2 linked regions of the Astyanax mexicanus genome follow. The protein of the gene in region 1 interacts with the protein of each later gene in a biochemical or structural test. Links are inferred from orthologs where the notes say so. Each region holds a gene or a part of one and is shown in the gene's direction. Other genes may lie near its edges.

Evidence for each region.
Region 2: of the proteins of myb (region 1) and nlk2, one has a biochemical effect on the other in vitro, tested with the Homo sapiens proteins (2 studies listed by BioGRID, with this or other methods). The link is inferred for Astyanax mexicanus from reciprocal best matches to the Homo sapiens genes MYB and NLK.

Annotation. Positions count from the first base shown.
Region 1 is NC_064420.1:44,418,740-44,426,797, forward strand, and holds the start of myb (transcriptional activator Myb), read left to right. Parts: upstream 1-4,831; 5' UTR 4,832-4,985; coding exon 4,986-5,008; intron 5,009-7,930; coding exon 7,931-8,048; intron 8,049-8,058. UniProt on the Homo sapiens protein: Transcriptional activator; DNA-binding protein that specifically recognize the sequence 5'-YAAC[GT]G-3'. Plays an important role in the control of proliferation and differentiation of hematopoietic progenitor cells.
Region 2 is NC_064425.1:29,108,658-29,116,528, reverse strand, and holds the start of nlk2 (serine/threonine-protein kinase NLK), read left to right. Parts: upstream 1-4,828; 5' UTR 4,829-6,293; coding exon 6,294-6,754; intron 6,755-7,871. UniProt on the Homo sapiens protein: Serine/threonine-protein kinase that regulates a number of transcription factors with key roles in cell fate determination. Positive effector of the non-canonical Wnt signaling pathway, acting downstream of WNT5A, MAP3K7/TAK1 and HIPK2.

The DNA of each region.
Region 1 (8,058 bases):
TTCTCCATCAATTTTCTATGATTATTTTACTTGAATGAAATTAAAAGAAGAATAAATACAAATCTAGTTAATTCACCTGACCATAAAATTCAATGTAAGTTATAGTTATTGTGCAAATTAATTGATGAACAAATTGCCTCAGATTATCAAATTAAATTAAATCTTTCCAGGCTTACCATGCAGGTAATCATTTTGAGCAACAGGTTTAATAAAAAGTGGTCAATTTTCTTATTGGGTGAAGTCGAAATAGATTGGCAGGTACCCCGCCCACTGCCCCCTCCTCTTTGTGTTCCAGCCTGCAGCATTACATACTAAGAGGAGCTTGTTAGTGACATGGTATGTCCAAAAGCATAGACAGAAGTTGTGTGCCTCTAGCTATGTGTAATGCTACTCTTAACCAGGAGAGGGATTTCGTCACACAAAGTACAAAACAAAAATTATTAAAAAAAAAATCCAAAAGCTAAAGTTAAAGCAAATAAATAAATAAATAAATAAAATGCTGCAAGAGGCTGTAAACTAGGAGAATTAGCTGGTGACAAACAAACACTTAGCACTATGCTCGTCATGGTTAGGCTTGGCTAAGATAAGCTAAGGCTAAATAAAAAAGTAGATCCATGAAAGAGAGAGCCCACGGAAAAGAAAAACAAAATACGAGCAAGAAGAAAGACAACATGTTTGTACAGTCCTTCATATACATGATTTTTAATGTGTGGTGAATGAAGGCCCTTGATTTTAATTGGCTAATCAATTAAGTAAGTAATTCAGCAGCCCTGATATTGTTTTAAATGTATTATATGTATATATTTCCAATTTAAAACCAACCTGAAATGAAGGAGAACTCTAACAACTTAACATTCACAACAGATGAGCTTATTCTCCATAGAGGTCATTACTGAGTCATATTCCATTTCTACTATATCCGCTCAAGTGAGAGGATGTCGATATTGCAAGCTTTTCTTTGCTTCTTTGAAAGTATTATGTAATGCATGATGACTTTTACACCTAATGCTGTCCAGATTATGCTCAATATATATACAATTACAGTATACACTACTGTACATCCAAACGTTTGTGGATGTCCATTCTAATGAATGCACTCGTTACTGACTTTTCTTAATTGTTTTATCTTTACTATAAACTTATCAAAATACAACACAAATGATGAATTCCTAACTAAATAAATTTACACAGTTACATGACTGTAGAAAGACTGTGATGCTCCTGGCTCGAGGCTTCTGGAGTCTTCTATGTGTCATTATGTTTTTACAGTGGAGTTAGTAGCCAATCAGATTATCACATTAAAGAAATTACAAAATCTACAAATATTCACATGCTACAAATAGAAGTGTTAAATCCACATCTACAAAATACAACTTTAACCAAAACAAAGAAATGGCTCCAACATTGTCCTCATGTCTGGTGCAGAACTAATTGGAACTGTGTTCTCTGGAACCTTTGAATGACTTGGAGTGTTAGGATGAGGTGGGGTCATGACTTCGCTAAAGCTTTTATTAATGAATGCAATCAAATCCTTATAGCAATTATGCAAAAGCTAGCAGAAGCTGTTGCTGGACAGTACTTTTTTAATACTTTTAACTTCGGAAGGAACGATGAGATAGCAGGTGTTCCTCTTCTTTTTATCCTTATAGTATTTATATACAGAATATTTGCCAAATGCTAATGTTCTGTAATTGAATTAACTTAATTAATCTGTATTTTATTGGTTTGATAATCTGCTGAACACGTGCAACAGTGACTGGAACCCAGTAACGCTGTCTCCAGCATTAACAGAATGACAGTCTAACACTACTCAGATTCCTTTCAGAAACCTGATCTCTGTATTTTAGTAACAATTCAAAGCAATCCGTCTGTAACTAACATGTTTTCTCCCCTCAAAATCTCAAGCACCCCCCAGATTCTCCCGCCTTTTGTTGAAATGCATGGAAGAGCATGTCCAGCCCACGCGGTGACACAACAATGCCACATTTCTGAGCTCCGCTCCACATGAGCATCGGTGGACAGAGACAATGGGCCAATCCGACTGATGTAATTATAAGTGACCGTGACAGTATGACAGTAAATAAGAGCAAGACAGAGCTGAGGGAACAAAACACAGGCCTACAGGTTTTGCTGATTCCGACAGATCTGCTATGTGTGTGTGTGTGGGTGTGTTTGTGTGTGTAAAAGACAAAGGGACAATTAAGTACACTGAAACATGTAATACACTACATTAACTTGTGTACAGTTTACTTATTTTTAAGCCAATTGAAATTTACTCAAATTCTAACAAATATCTTTCACAAATGTTCTTTTCACTTAAGAGTTTACAGTTTACTTACGTTAAAATCAGTTTAAAGACTTTAAATCAGAAACGTAACTCCAACTTTTACCTCAATGTTTACAGCCTACACCGAAAAAAGCAGTGATCACTAGATCTCATACTTTAAAGTTAATACTACAGTCTACTGTGAGAAAATGAATCACCACTAGAACTTAAAAAAGCAATACAACTCAAAGCGTTAATTCAGAGTTTAGTTCAGTTTTTAGTAAAGTTTACAATGAAAAACAGTGACTAAACATTAATCTCAATGATTTGTATTCAATCAGATTAAAGATATTAACTCAATGATTACAGTTTACAGTAATAAAAGAATGAACACTAGAAATGGTTCCCAATATAACTCTAGTAATCTTTCATTTTAGCAGTGTGCACATTCTAGAGTTTATGATTGTGTAATAACACAGTGAGGGCAAAGTTCATGATGTTTTCTTATAAGCTACTGAAAAAAAAAACTTAGAACCACCAGTGGTTTCTGGCTTTCCCCAATACATTAACTTAGGAATAACTCAGCCACTTTGCATGTATTTGCATATATTTACCAATTAGTAAGCCTTAGGGTGTAATAAAAGTCACAGAGCAAAGGGGGCTAAATATTTTGCATGTCAGCTTCACAGGATCTATAAGATAACTTCTCTAAGACAAAGTAAATTTTTTTTAGAACCATTTTCATTTAATTGCTATGTTCTGCAACAATGTAGGGTTAATACTATATATGTTATATATGCTTCCAAACCTTAAGACTAGATTAGACTAATGGCAAGCCAAGGGCAAGGGCAAACTGAAAGAAAAAAGACAACTGAAACCATAAAATTATCTTAAAGTGAAAGTGAGAGTGGACGGATACAGGCTGTACTGCAGACAGCCAGTCAATATACAGTATTAAGTTCAGCTAAAGTCTGTAGGACAATAAAAGTATAATATAATCAGAGATGTATAGTAACATAGTACAACTACTTCACTACTGTACTGAAGTACTAAAATACTAAAGTAATAATATCTGCGTCTACTGGAGTATTATTTTTTCTCCTACTACATTTTTATTCATGTGCTGCATCGTTACTTGTTACAATTATAAAAATGTTAGGAATCATTCTGCCTTTCACTCTGAGAACTTTTCACTGATTTCTGTTTTTGATAGGACACTGGTGCTTTTACTTAAGTCTGGGTCTCTAGTACCTTCAGAGGTGTCAAGTACCTTACTTGTGTAGACATTTTGGTTATCTACTCTACTGGAGTAACTATTTTTCAGAAGACTTTTCACTTTTACTCCTACCATTTTCACATGATTATCTGTACCTTCTACTTCTTAAATATAGCCTCGGTTTCTCTTCATAAAAAAAAAACATTCTTGAACATAGAGTGAATTTAATTGTGGTTGAATCAGAAGTATAAACATTTCGGCACCCGATTTATTGGTTTTTACGCGATTCATCGTACCTGCACGTCACGTCACACTCCAGCAAGAACAAAGCAGACAAATGTAGCCTAGTATGAAGATGATCCGTGCTCGAGACAAACGTCCAACTAAGCTTCCTTAATATATTTACATAAAACTAAATTACATCCATTTCAATGGGCATATATGCAGCTGAAACAGGTACTGCAGGTGTTCTCAACTGGTCTCAGACCGGGCCAACATTTTCAAATTGTGGTCATTTAGTTGCGACCCACTTTTATAGAATACAAAAACCTATTTAAACATACATATGCATGCAAAAAAGAGCATTTTTAATTTGAGGAGGAACATGACAACTACATGTATAAAAGTTACTACAATAAAATTAAATATCAGATCTGCACAAAATAAATAAGGCCACAAAACTAGATATTTGCCTAATCATTTGCCTTCATTTTTCCCCAATATAGAAGACGAAAAAAAATCAGATGAGCATTAATTATTTTTTAAAAAGCATGTATTTTTTTTTACAAATCCTGTCCCACCAGTTGATAATTGCTGGCCTTGTGGTGTGGCCTAAGCTTTTGTCCTTAATGCACTTAATTTTTTGGTACATTACTTTTACTATTATACTTTAAGTAGCTTTGAAACCAGCATTTTTACACTTTTTCTTTATTAGCAAAAAGCTTGAATTGATACTGCATAAGTATTTATGTTAAAACCCTTATATCTATACTTCTACCTACAGAGTAATGAATGTGAATACTATGTGCATTAGTTATAATATAATCGGTTGCTATTGAGAACAGGGACACGTGTGTTTAAAAGCTGGCATATCTAGTCCACATTTGCAGAACACACACTGTTTCGTATCAAATATCCCTTTTCACCCCTGGTTTACCTCAGAAAATCAACGAAAGAGGCTTAAAAACAATAGAGACAAAGTTTAGCGCGAGCTGAGGGCTAAATGGCGCTCTGGGTGACAGGAGTGCGTCAGGAACCTCCGTGCGCATGCGCGGCCCAGAGGCGCCAAATTAAGCGGGAGGGAACTCAGCTTTTGTCTGATGCATGCATGTTAGAGTGTGCGTGCGCGCGCGCGTGTGAGTGTGTGTGTGTTTACACTCTGCTTGTAGTGAACTTAATGTCAGCCTACTTCCTTCTCTAAGCGGAGCCTCTGGGAGCTTATAGGCGCAGAGCACACACACTCTCACACACTCACACACACTCCACCTTCCACGGAGCAGCGGGATGTCGAGGCTCAAGAGACACAGGTAACGGCAACCGGGTTAATTAACGTTACCGCAGCTTTTTTAGTTGCTTACAGTTACCGTGCATGAGTAACGATTGATATTATTAAGCTAGCGTTACACTCTTTACATTTCCCCCCTCTCTCTCTCTCTGTATCTTTTTATGTGTGTTTCTATGTCTCTTACCCACTCTAATTTCAGCTTTTGCTAAAACTTTGTTTGTCGTTTTCGCCTGTTTTATAGTTAGTTTCTAACTTAGTTAATAGTGCAGCTCTAACGGCTCGTGCACGGCGGCACATGGCTCTGAGCTCGAGCGCTCGACAGCTCGCGCGTTGAGGGCTGGCTGGTAACAGGTGGATTAGCTAGCGCGAGCTGTAGTGGCCGGCGTGGCGCGTGCGCTGCGGACCCCCGCACTGCCATTCATTCATGCCATCGTTCAGTTTCTCGTGCCTATTCTGTAAACCTTGCTCTCTCTTCTCTCTCTTTCTATGCACGTGAGGATAACGATGGTTATACGTCAGTTCCCATACTGTGGAGTCCGTTCATACACCTGATAGATAGTTAGCATTGAGAACGTTGAGTAAACGTTAGTTTAGTTTACGTTTTTTGGTTGCATTAACCTTCCTATCTAGCTACATTTTTAAGATGGCTAGCTAGATGATGGAAAAATTGAAAAAAATATATATATTTATTTAACATAGGCATAGTTAGCTAATGTTCATGTTTGGAATTTCTGACATTAAAGCAACGTTCATTTAAAGGTTTTAAAGGGTTTTGGCTCTACCTAACTAACTACTACAGTACACTCACAGTACAGTGCTTTAAGGTAACAGGTGCTCCTCATAAATATTAATAATTATTATTATAAAATTCTGACTTTGGAGACTAACGTTGACTAACGTTTTTTTCATTGCATTAGAACATTGATTCAACATTTTTTGCTATCTGGGTAGCTATTAATACGAGCGTTACGACTTGTGGTAAGAAAGCTATGCCTATGAGGTAGCTAACTAACTTGTTGGATTCCAGAACATTTAGCGTTAGTTAAATGTTAATGCTAAATCAACACCATGTATGTAGGTTAACATTTTATCTAATACTCACCATATTAGCCAACGGTAGCTTAATTTGACTCTGAAAGTGATGATTTAACACTTATTTGAAGCAGTGAAGACGTGTTGCCTGTTGTTTAATCTATTTTAGAAGCACGTTTTTCCACTTTAATTGCGATTGTCACCTGAAATAGCATATCTTTAGTCTCATTTTAGTCTTGGTAATGCTTTAAATCGCTTTAAAACTTAAGCATAACCTTGCAAACTTAACGTTACCTTGCACTTTAATGAAAGTAACGCTAAAAACGTTAATATATAACATTTACGTTCGTTAACAGAACAAAATAAACGTTTAACATTTTTTAAAAAGCTGTAACGGTTTAGAATGCAGCGAGAATTTAAATTTAAACTTTCACATTTTAAACCAACCGCCAAAGGAACGCGGCACGCCGAGCGCACGCGGGGTGATGGACTCGAGTGACACCGTGCACGAGCCACCACCAACACCACCACCGTGCTGGTAGGATGTGCTGCAGCTTAGCAGGACAAAGCTGCGCGCGTGTGTGTGTGTGTGTGTACGTTTGTTTGGACGATATATTGTGTCAGAACTATTTGGAGTAAAAAAAAAGAGTATTGTGATTTTAAAAGTCTATTTTATGCCACTGATATAATACATGTAGTTACACACTGTTGAAGAGCTGAAATCTTTTAAATAGTGGGAATATTTACAAACTGCAAGTGGAATAAAAGTTTACACATGGCTCATTTATGTAAATATATATATATATATATATATATATATATATATATATATATATATATTTTTTTTTTTTTTTTTTTTTTTTTAAGAAAACACAATGTGGAGGTCAGAAAAATGAGTGAGCTTGTCTATATATTATATGATAAGACATAAGATAGCATGCCTTCTCCCTCATAGCAGCAATACTGTCATAAATTACATCAATGTAGTAGACCCTAAAATTAAGCCCTGTGGGCCTAAACTGTCCCCACATTATGAATTGCAAATTTAAAAGTTTCTGAATTTAATAAGAATTCTGTTTAATAACAGAATAACAAACCTAGGGTTCAAAAGGTTAACCAAAAATAGGGTGAACATCATGAAGAAAGGGGGCTATTGTCCTGCTCCTATTTTCTTATCTGTAGATCAGTTCACCAAGTAGTTATAATAAACACAAGGCTCACACACACACACATACAGTATATATACACAACACTGACACAAAGGCCAGGGCAGCTCCGTCTTCCACGTAAGCTGTGCATTATTCTAATTGGCTGAAAGCTGGCCAGGTGAGTTTTGTAGAGTACCTGCACAGGTCTGAACACGCTGCGGTGAGGAAACACTCTCAGTCCGTGTTCACACTTAGCGTATCTGTGGAAACCAAAAACATCAGAACAGGTTTCTCTCAGCCTGCTGGCAGTACAGGTTCAGCCACTTCTGGTTTTGTTTTGACTGTTATCGCTTAATTTTTCTATTATACATGATGCTATGAAGGGACAGGGCTGGATTTAATATACCAACATCCGTCAGGCACGTTCACGCTCTCTCCCTCAAGCTATTGTTGTCCATGTGCTGTGTCCTTTCTGAGAAAACAAAGCGTTTTAAACAAGCACTTTTAGATGTTCATTAAGGATGTAAGTGTACATATAGACAAATTAGAAAAAGATCTGTGCCATTTTTACTAATTACACTGAACATAGTCCCCTCCTTTTCTTCACTTTCCCTTTTTTAACTCTCTCTTTCTGTGCCCTCCCCTCCCCTCATTTGCCCCTTTTCCCACTTACTTTCACTGCCCCTTGTTACCCCCTCCTTCTCCGTATTGTCTCTTCCTCACTCACTCACTCCCTTAATTATCCTTTCCCTTGTCTTTTTCAGTGTTTACAGCAGCGATGAAGAAGATGACGATGTGGAGAGTTATGAACATGACTATGATGCCCCTTCGGCCAAGACAGGAAAACGGCACTTAGGCAAAACACGCTGGACACGTGAAGAGGTAAGCAGAA
Region 2 (7,871 bases), on another chromosome or scaffold:
TAGTTGAATATTGGTGCTGTCATCCAGCTGCTTGCATGTTACTCACATCATTCACATTTGTGGGTGTTGGAGCAGATAGATAGCAGTGTTTCAGGGTGCCCTCATGTCTATGGCTACATTCACATTACCAGGCTGAAGTGACTCAAATCTGATTCGGCTCAGATCAGATTTTTTCATGGCTGTGTAAACGTACCAAATCTGTTTTTTTGTTGTTTTTTTTCAAATCAGGTTTCTATGTGGTTCTAAATCGGATACATATTCGATCCATGGACATGAGACATGAATGTGAACGGTCAAATTGGAATTAGTGTGTCTTTTTTGCTTTTACGCATGCGCTACATGCTATCTCTCGTACCCACACATCTTTTGGTGCAGCTGTGCAGCTATAGCTCTAAAAAACAGCAAAAGCAAACCACCTGGCCTTTTTTTCAACTCCTCTACCTGAGCATGTACTTCAGACAAGCTGTTTGCTGTTTCTCCACTCCAGCAATAGATGCTCCACATATGAGATGTTAACTCATCATTTCCCTTTTTAAAGCTACGAGTCGTCTCTCAAATATGACGTTTTTTGTTGTTGTTGGTGAGGAAGGAGACGTTTATACAGGTATCAATGTGCACACGTGAGCCATTTCAGGGACAGATTCGTTCACATTACACACAGATACAGCTCACTTACATTTGTGAATGTGAACTGTCAAGACAGCCAAATCTGATCTGAGCAAAAAATCTGGCTTGTAATGTGAACGTAAGTTATTTCCTGATTAGCTAATAGTTAGCATGTTAGAGTCAGATCTGCCATGCTCTTATCATCTGTGTTCAGAACTAATTCTATCTATTTACCTTTCTCATTAGGTCATCCTGCTACCTTCTGTTCACCAATCAGCTACTGCTATACCTGCCTCTACCTGGACTAGTTGCCACCCTTTATAATTGACAAGATTAACATGGACTATTAATTATGATAATATGAAGTAATATGAATAAGTAATATGAAGTATTACTATTTTAGTTGTAATTATTATTAATATTCCCACTATCAACCATCACTATTACTTTCATTATTCTTACCACCACACTACTATGACTATATCAGTACAGCAATTTTGACCAAAGGAGGATGGGTCCCCGTGTTCAATCTTTTCTCATATTACAGATTTATGTCGAGATGCTTTGCAACAACATATAAAACATATTAAAAAAGTGTTACATAACTACATTTCATTTTATTTCATTTAATAAAAGCTTTCTAACAAGTTAATAACCCCATAAAAATGACATTAATAACTCTAGGCCTCTAATAACTGAATACCGATGAGTCAGCTTTGATCTTTAAATAATTGAACACTGCATGACTGCTATAAAGCATATTGTGAGCTTTGAGTCATCAGGTCAGAAAGGCTGGCAGCTCGTTATTCCTGTTTGAGGAATGAGCTCAGAGCAGTTTGATCATCTCTGTGGACAATGGTGATGAAGCCTGACTTCCAGGTCTTCCCAGAGCTTCAGTTAGCCCACACCCGCAGGTGACACGCACTGGCAGCGTTTGATGTAGAGCATGATACACTCATCTATAAGAACTAGGCCTGTGCTTAAAGGAGGACATGGCCCTTAATTTAAGCCTGGGCATGGGATTAATTGCTTTGTTTTAAATAGTGCCTGTATTTAATGAGAAACGTACAACAGTTGCCGTTCCTGAGGTTCTTTTTTTCCCCACAGTGTCTCACCTTGAATTAGTTTCGCTGCTTAATGCTCTGACAGAAAAATGCTTTCAACTGCAGGTGGCACCCGTAACTGTAATGACACAATTTCTATAAAAGAAAAGAATGTGTGATATTAAGTCATGTAGACGCTGCATTAAAAGTGTTTTGAAAAACTGTAATTGGTCTATTTGCTTTACACAAACAAGTAATATTCTGTGCACAGGGTGGAGACTGTACAGAACTGTGTAGACATAATGTGCTATTTGCCACCTTTTGTTTTTGCCTTTTTTGTCATACTTATTTTTCAGACTGTCAAACAAAAGCGCTTTTTAAATTAACTAAGGAAAAAAAATATTCAAACATATTTGGCTGTATGTGTAAAAGCAATTGAAATGATCAGTGGTGAACCTCTTCAGGAGTGATTAATCTACCAAAATTACTCCAAAAGGGCATGAACAACTCATCCAGAACAACATCTAAAGGCCTGTTTCATATTTGCCAACAAATGTGAGATACTCCCCATTTTTTTGGGAAAATATTCTGTGAGCTGGTGAGACAAAAGTGGAACTTTTTGGAATGTGTGAGTCCTGTTACATCATACTAAAAACACGATGGTGGTAGTGTGATGGTCTGGGGCTGCTTTGCTGCTTTAAGACCTGGACAACTTGCTGTAATAGATGGAACCATGAATTCTGCTCTACCAGAAACTCCTGAAGGAAAATCTCGGCCATCGGTTCATGACGTTAAGCTCAGGTGTATTTGGGTTCTGCAGCAGGACAATGATAAAAAGCACACCACCACAACAATGTTTTGGGGTCAGAGTCTGATTGAGATGCTGTGGGCCAGAATTCTTCCACAGAGTGTGAAAGACTCATTGCCAGTTATCACAAACACTTGATGGCAAACAGCGCACAACCAAGTCGTTAGGTTTAGGTGAAAATACTTTTTTACAAAGGGCCATGTTGATTTGGATAGATTTTTTACCCATATCAAATTAAATGATGATTTAAAAGTGATTTTATATTTACTTAGGTTATCTTTGCCAGACAATAAATGTGCTTTTTAATCTGAAAAATGCAAGTATATGATAAACAAGCAAAAATAATTAATCATGCGTGTTTTCTTTGTTAAAATGCAGTTAGTCACTTTCCACAGATCATTATAAATATATATTTATTAATAATAAATATATATATATATATATATATATATATATATATATATATATATATATATATATATATATGGGCGGCACGGTGGCGCAGTGGGTAGCATTTCCGCCTCACAGCAAGACGTTTGATTCCCGGCTGGGGCAACCCGGGTCTTCCTGTGTGGAGTTTGCACGTTCTCCCCGTGTCTGCGTGGGTTTCCTCCAGGTTCTCTGGTTTCCTCCCACAGTCCAAGGACGGCACGTTCAGACTAATTGGAACTTGATTGAAATTGCCCCTTAGGTGTGAGTGTGTGAGTGAATGTGTCTGTTTGTCTGTCTGTGTCTGTCTGCCCTGCGATGGATTGGCGGCCTGTCCAGGGTGTATCCTGCCTTCCGTCCGATGCCTGCTGGGACAGGCTCCAGCCTATATATATCTCAAGTGACTATTTATACAGATACTGTTTTAGATTTGTAAGCTCACCTTCCCAGAATAATCAAAATTCTTTTGACAAATTTTATTGATTTTTTCTCTCTAAATCATCTCCTCATGACACTAGCCACCTGTGGTAAAATCCCCTATACTCTCAGTTTTAGGAATGCAAAGAGTGTGACTTAAGCTAGTAAATTATGCCTAAAAAAGATGGCAGCTCCCTTCACTGATCTAATTTTCCAACATCCCCACCTAGTAAGTGATGAGAGTTTTACTATTATATAAAGTTTACTTTTTATGAATACATTTTAGTCTCATTATTGAGGTTTATTTTTTATTATTTATTTTTTTTTCTGTATTTTTAGTTTGGATTTTAGTCAGCAGTCAATTCCATAAAGCTAGAAGTATTCTAGAAGTGGCTGTTAAAATGTTTTCTGATTTTTAAATCAATATTTTTAGAATTCAGGATTTAGGATTGAACTGCTTGACTGTATGATAAAATATCCTCTTAAACCATTGCTTATTTTTAAATGTCTAATGTTTATGTATTTCCTATAAAAAAAAACTTGAAAATATGAGTTAGGCGATTTTTTTACGATTACTTTAGGAAGGTGCTGGATGAGAAAGTTCACCTGACCCCAAACCCAAACTTTACCGCCGCCTGTACCTTTACCCCGGCGGCTGCACGCCTGGGGCAGTAACCTGCCGGCGGATGGTGGCAGTCATTCCCAGCCCAGAGAGGCCGTTCAGCGGCGGGCTGAATAACTGCTCAATTTAATTATTTTATTATTTGCCTCCGCTTGATCTGCAGCGGGCAGAGCGGAGCTCCAGCTCGGCCATTTGGGTTGGTTTGGCCCGTCCGCTCCCCCGGCGCTGGCCTGTGTTGTGCCGATTTGTGCTACCCTGTCAAAACGTGCTTCGACAGCGAAGCTCTATTTATAGGTAGAGCTGCCTAGGTAAAACAAACAGTATGGAAAAGAAAAATACGTTCTGGTTTCCGTTTAAAACGTTTAGAAGCACCATATCTTACATACTCCCAGCAGAAGTATAGCTGGATTTTATATGGCCAAAATAAGTGCATCAGGGAAATATACGCTCAAAAAAAAAAAAAAAAAAAACGAAACTAAGCTTTTTTATGTTTGTTTTTAATTTGCTTTAATTTTATTTTAACCTCAAGGAAATAGTTACAGTAAGCTTATATTATTTTATGCAAGCGATGAAAAGTATAGGTTATTTTTATTAATGATTTTTATCATAAAAAATCCACATTAAAAAACCTTTTTCAAACATGTGAGTCGGCGCATGCGCACGGCCTCTAAGCAGCAGATTTTGACGGGTAGTGCAACTTGACAGAACACCGGCTCTCTCTTGCCGTAATGGCGTCCGTTTCACAGGCAACAGGCCCCACTTTGTTTTGCTGCTGGGGTCGCTCGCCTGTTTCCGCCCCCTTCCGCCCATTGGCTGCAAGCCCGCATTAGAGGCGAGAGCGGCGCGCTGTGATTGGTTGAGGGTGGCTGGGTCGCGACGCGGTTGGTCAGAATGGACGTCGGTCACGGGCGTCAGTCATAAGGGGAGGGGGGGAGTCGACGGTTGGTCTGAAGAAGCTCAGGCTCGGGCGCGTGTTGCCTTAACGTCCAGGCGGCAGCAGCAGCAGCGGGGTCCGGCTGTGGCTGCGCGATTCCTCCGCGGTGCGCGGAGCTGTGGATCTGTTTTCCTGGAGCGGATTTATGCCAGGGTGTCTGGAAGGAACAGCAGTGTAGGGTTAGCTGCCTCACGCCGGAGGAGTCGATGGAGAAAATAAGTTGACTGGCTCCGGAAGAATTTGTGTTCTTCGCTCCGGGGAGGAGAAGGGGTGATTCGGCTTGTTTCGTCGACGCGATGGGGGCTTGGGGACCGGAGGGGCTTCGGGGGCTTCGATTTTGACGTTTGGGAAAAGGAGAAGCAGCGAGATTTACAGCTACAGCTGTTCAGGAGTACCTGTCGTATCCATCCACCCTGCCAGCCAGCCAGCCTCTCCTAGCTCTAACCCAGAAGCAGGAATAGCTGCATATATGGAGGGGGTTTGGTCCACTTTCTGCCCCGAAACAGAGTGATCTCAGCCGCCTAGCGAGCACCAGAGCTCCGTGCTGGTTGTGGAGGTGCTGGCCTTGGGCGAGAATCCAGTGCTAACTTCTTCACTGACTCCAAAAACACTGCATGCAGCCTCCGGCCGTGGAAGCAGCCTCGGCTCCGGACCAGCCAACATGGCCAATGTGAAGAAGTCTAAAAGATGAAGGTTGCATTCCCCACTTAACCCACCACATTCAGTTTCAACCTTCTCACTCTTAAACAGGAGATAAAAGGAGGGAAACAAGGGCCTCAGGTTGTTTGGAGAGTGGAGAGCTTTCTTACCTCCAACATGAGGGAGATTTAAGGCCATACAGGATCTCTGGACTGAGGGGGGAGTGGGATTTTTGTTAGTCACATCATCATCATCACCATCATCATCAACATTTATTTTCTTTCATTCTTCTTTCTCTTTCATTTCCTTGCTTTTTTTAGCTGTTCAGGCTTTTTCTGAATGTGCAGTTGTGATTGTGGTCTGATTGTGGGAAATTTGTAGTGCCTGCCTGGCCATAAGAGAGCAAAGCGCATTTCCCAGAAGTAGGTCAGATCAAATGGAAGATAGCTAGCTTAGCTGAAGCATGGAGTTGACTTTATGAGAGCTGAGAGAGAGGGAAAGAGAGAGAGAGACAGAGCTGGTGCACTCATGTTAAAGCCACTCAAATCTAGTCTTGTCACTCAACATCTTTTCACACTTGTCACACTTACTTTGCTCTACTCCAAGCATTTTTGTTTGGATATGTCCATCCATTGGATAGATAGCAGGCCAATGATCTAGGCTAGGCCTCTTCCATCTCTTCGCCTGTTTGATCTTTCAGGAGACCCCATTTTCGCTCTTGTCCCCTTTCTCTTTAGTTTTGTTTTTCTCTTCCTTTCTTTTCGCTTTCCCTCTCTTCCTCTGGCTGTTGAGTGAATGGCTCTTTGCGGGACGACGGCGACCAATGCCGCAAAAATGATGGCTGCGTACAGTGGCGGCGCCTCGGCCGTGGCGGCCCATCACCCTCACCACCACCACCAACTGCCACACCTTCCGCCTCCTCACCTGCACCATCACCACCACCCGGGCCAGCACCACCTGCAGCACCCTGGCTCGGCTGCGGCCGTGCACCCTGTGCAACAGCAGCACGCCTCGGCCGCGGCTGCGGCGGCTGCAGTCATGCTGAACCCGAGCCAGCAACAGCCGTACTTCCCTTCGCCTGCTCCCGGACAAGCCCCTGGCCCGGCGGCGGCTGCAGCCCCAGCTCAGGTCCAGGCGGCGGCCGCTGCGGCAGTCAAGGCGCATCATCACCACCATCAGCATGCTCACCACTTGCAGCAGCAACTGGACATCGAGCCGGACAGGCCCATTGGATACGGAGCCTTCGGTGTGGTCTGGTGAGTGGCGGCCTGTTTTGCTGAAGCAGGTTCTTTAGCTTCAATCTCCTGAACTCTGTGGCAGGGGTGTCAGGCTTGAGTCTTGGAGGGCTGCAGCTCTGCAGAGTTTAGGCCTCATGTTTTGAGGCCTCCGTTGAGGCCACCACTATAATAACTACTTGGGCATAGTTTCCATGTAGTTCTAAAATAACCAACATTAATAAAACTATCTCAAATAAAGTTATTTGAAAGTCTTCTTTCCGCAATTTTGTTTAAGAAACATTTACTTTTGGTTCCTTTTGGTTTTGGTGGTCAAACTAGACTTTGGGGACAAGTAGACTGTTCTCACATTGCTCCATTGCTGTGTTGTAACCATTGAAAACCATCAAGACTTCTGTGAGAATCACTGCTATAGGATGTGTTAGTGAAAGGTTCTTTAGTATACATTTGAACACATGGCTTTTTAGTAGAACACAAAGGATCTTTAATATTTAGTAGCATCACATTTATCATTACGAGTGTAATCGCTAAGAAAATATTTAGTCTTAAGCTTACAACAAGCTTAACAAACAGTAAACAGGTTCAAGGAGTTAACATGTCTGGGAAGACAGCTCATCAGCTGATTAGCAATGATCTTTTTTCAAGAGTTGAGTAAGTCCAGAGTGGCACAGGATGGCAGCACGATGGAAACAAATCTCAGCAGACGTCTGACCCTCCAGGATCTGAAGTTGACACCCCTGCTGTTGGCTCATTATTCATTATTGTTATTAACCAGAATGGCTTATTACTCAGTAACTGCTATGAACAGCTTAGAATTGCTTAGTAACAACTGCCTGACCAAGGCAGAGGTCATTCACATCACCTGCTCTTTGAGATCTACCCAGACTTTAGCATCAACCATTGTCATTTAACTTCCCCATGAATAATTGAATTATTGAGATGTTTTTTGATTAACAGAGTCAGGTGTTAGATTTTGCTTGAGGGTGAAAGCTGCTGAGTCTATTAGTTTTCTATTGGAAGGAAGGATGGCCACCACTTCAAGATATGTGACTATAAGAGTGATAAACTTTTGGATGTGGACTTGGACTTTGTGATGGTGTATGTATTATGTTTAAAATGAGTTTAAAAGAGTCTAAAA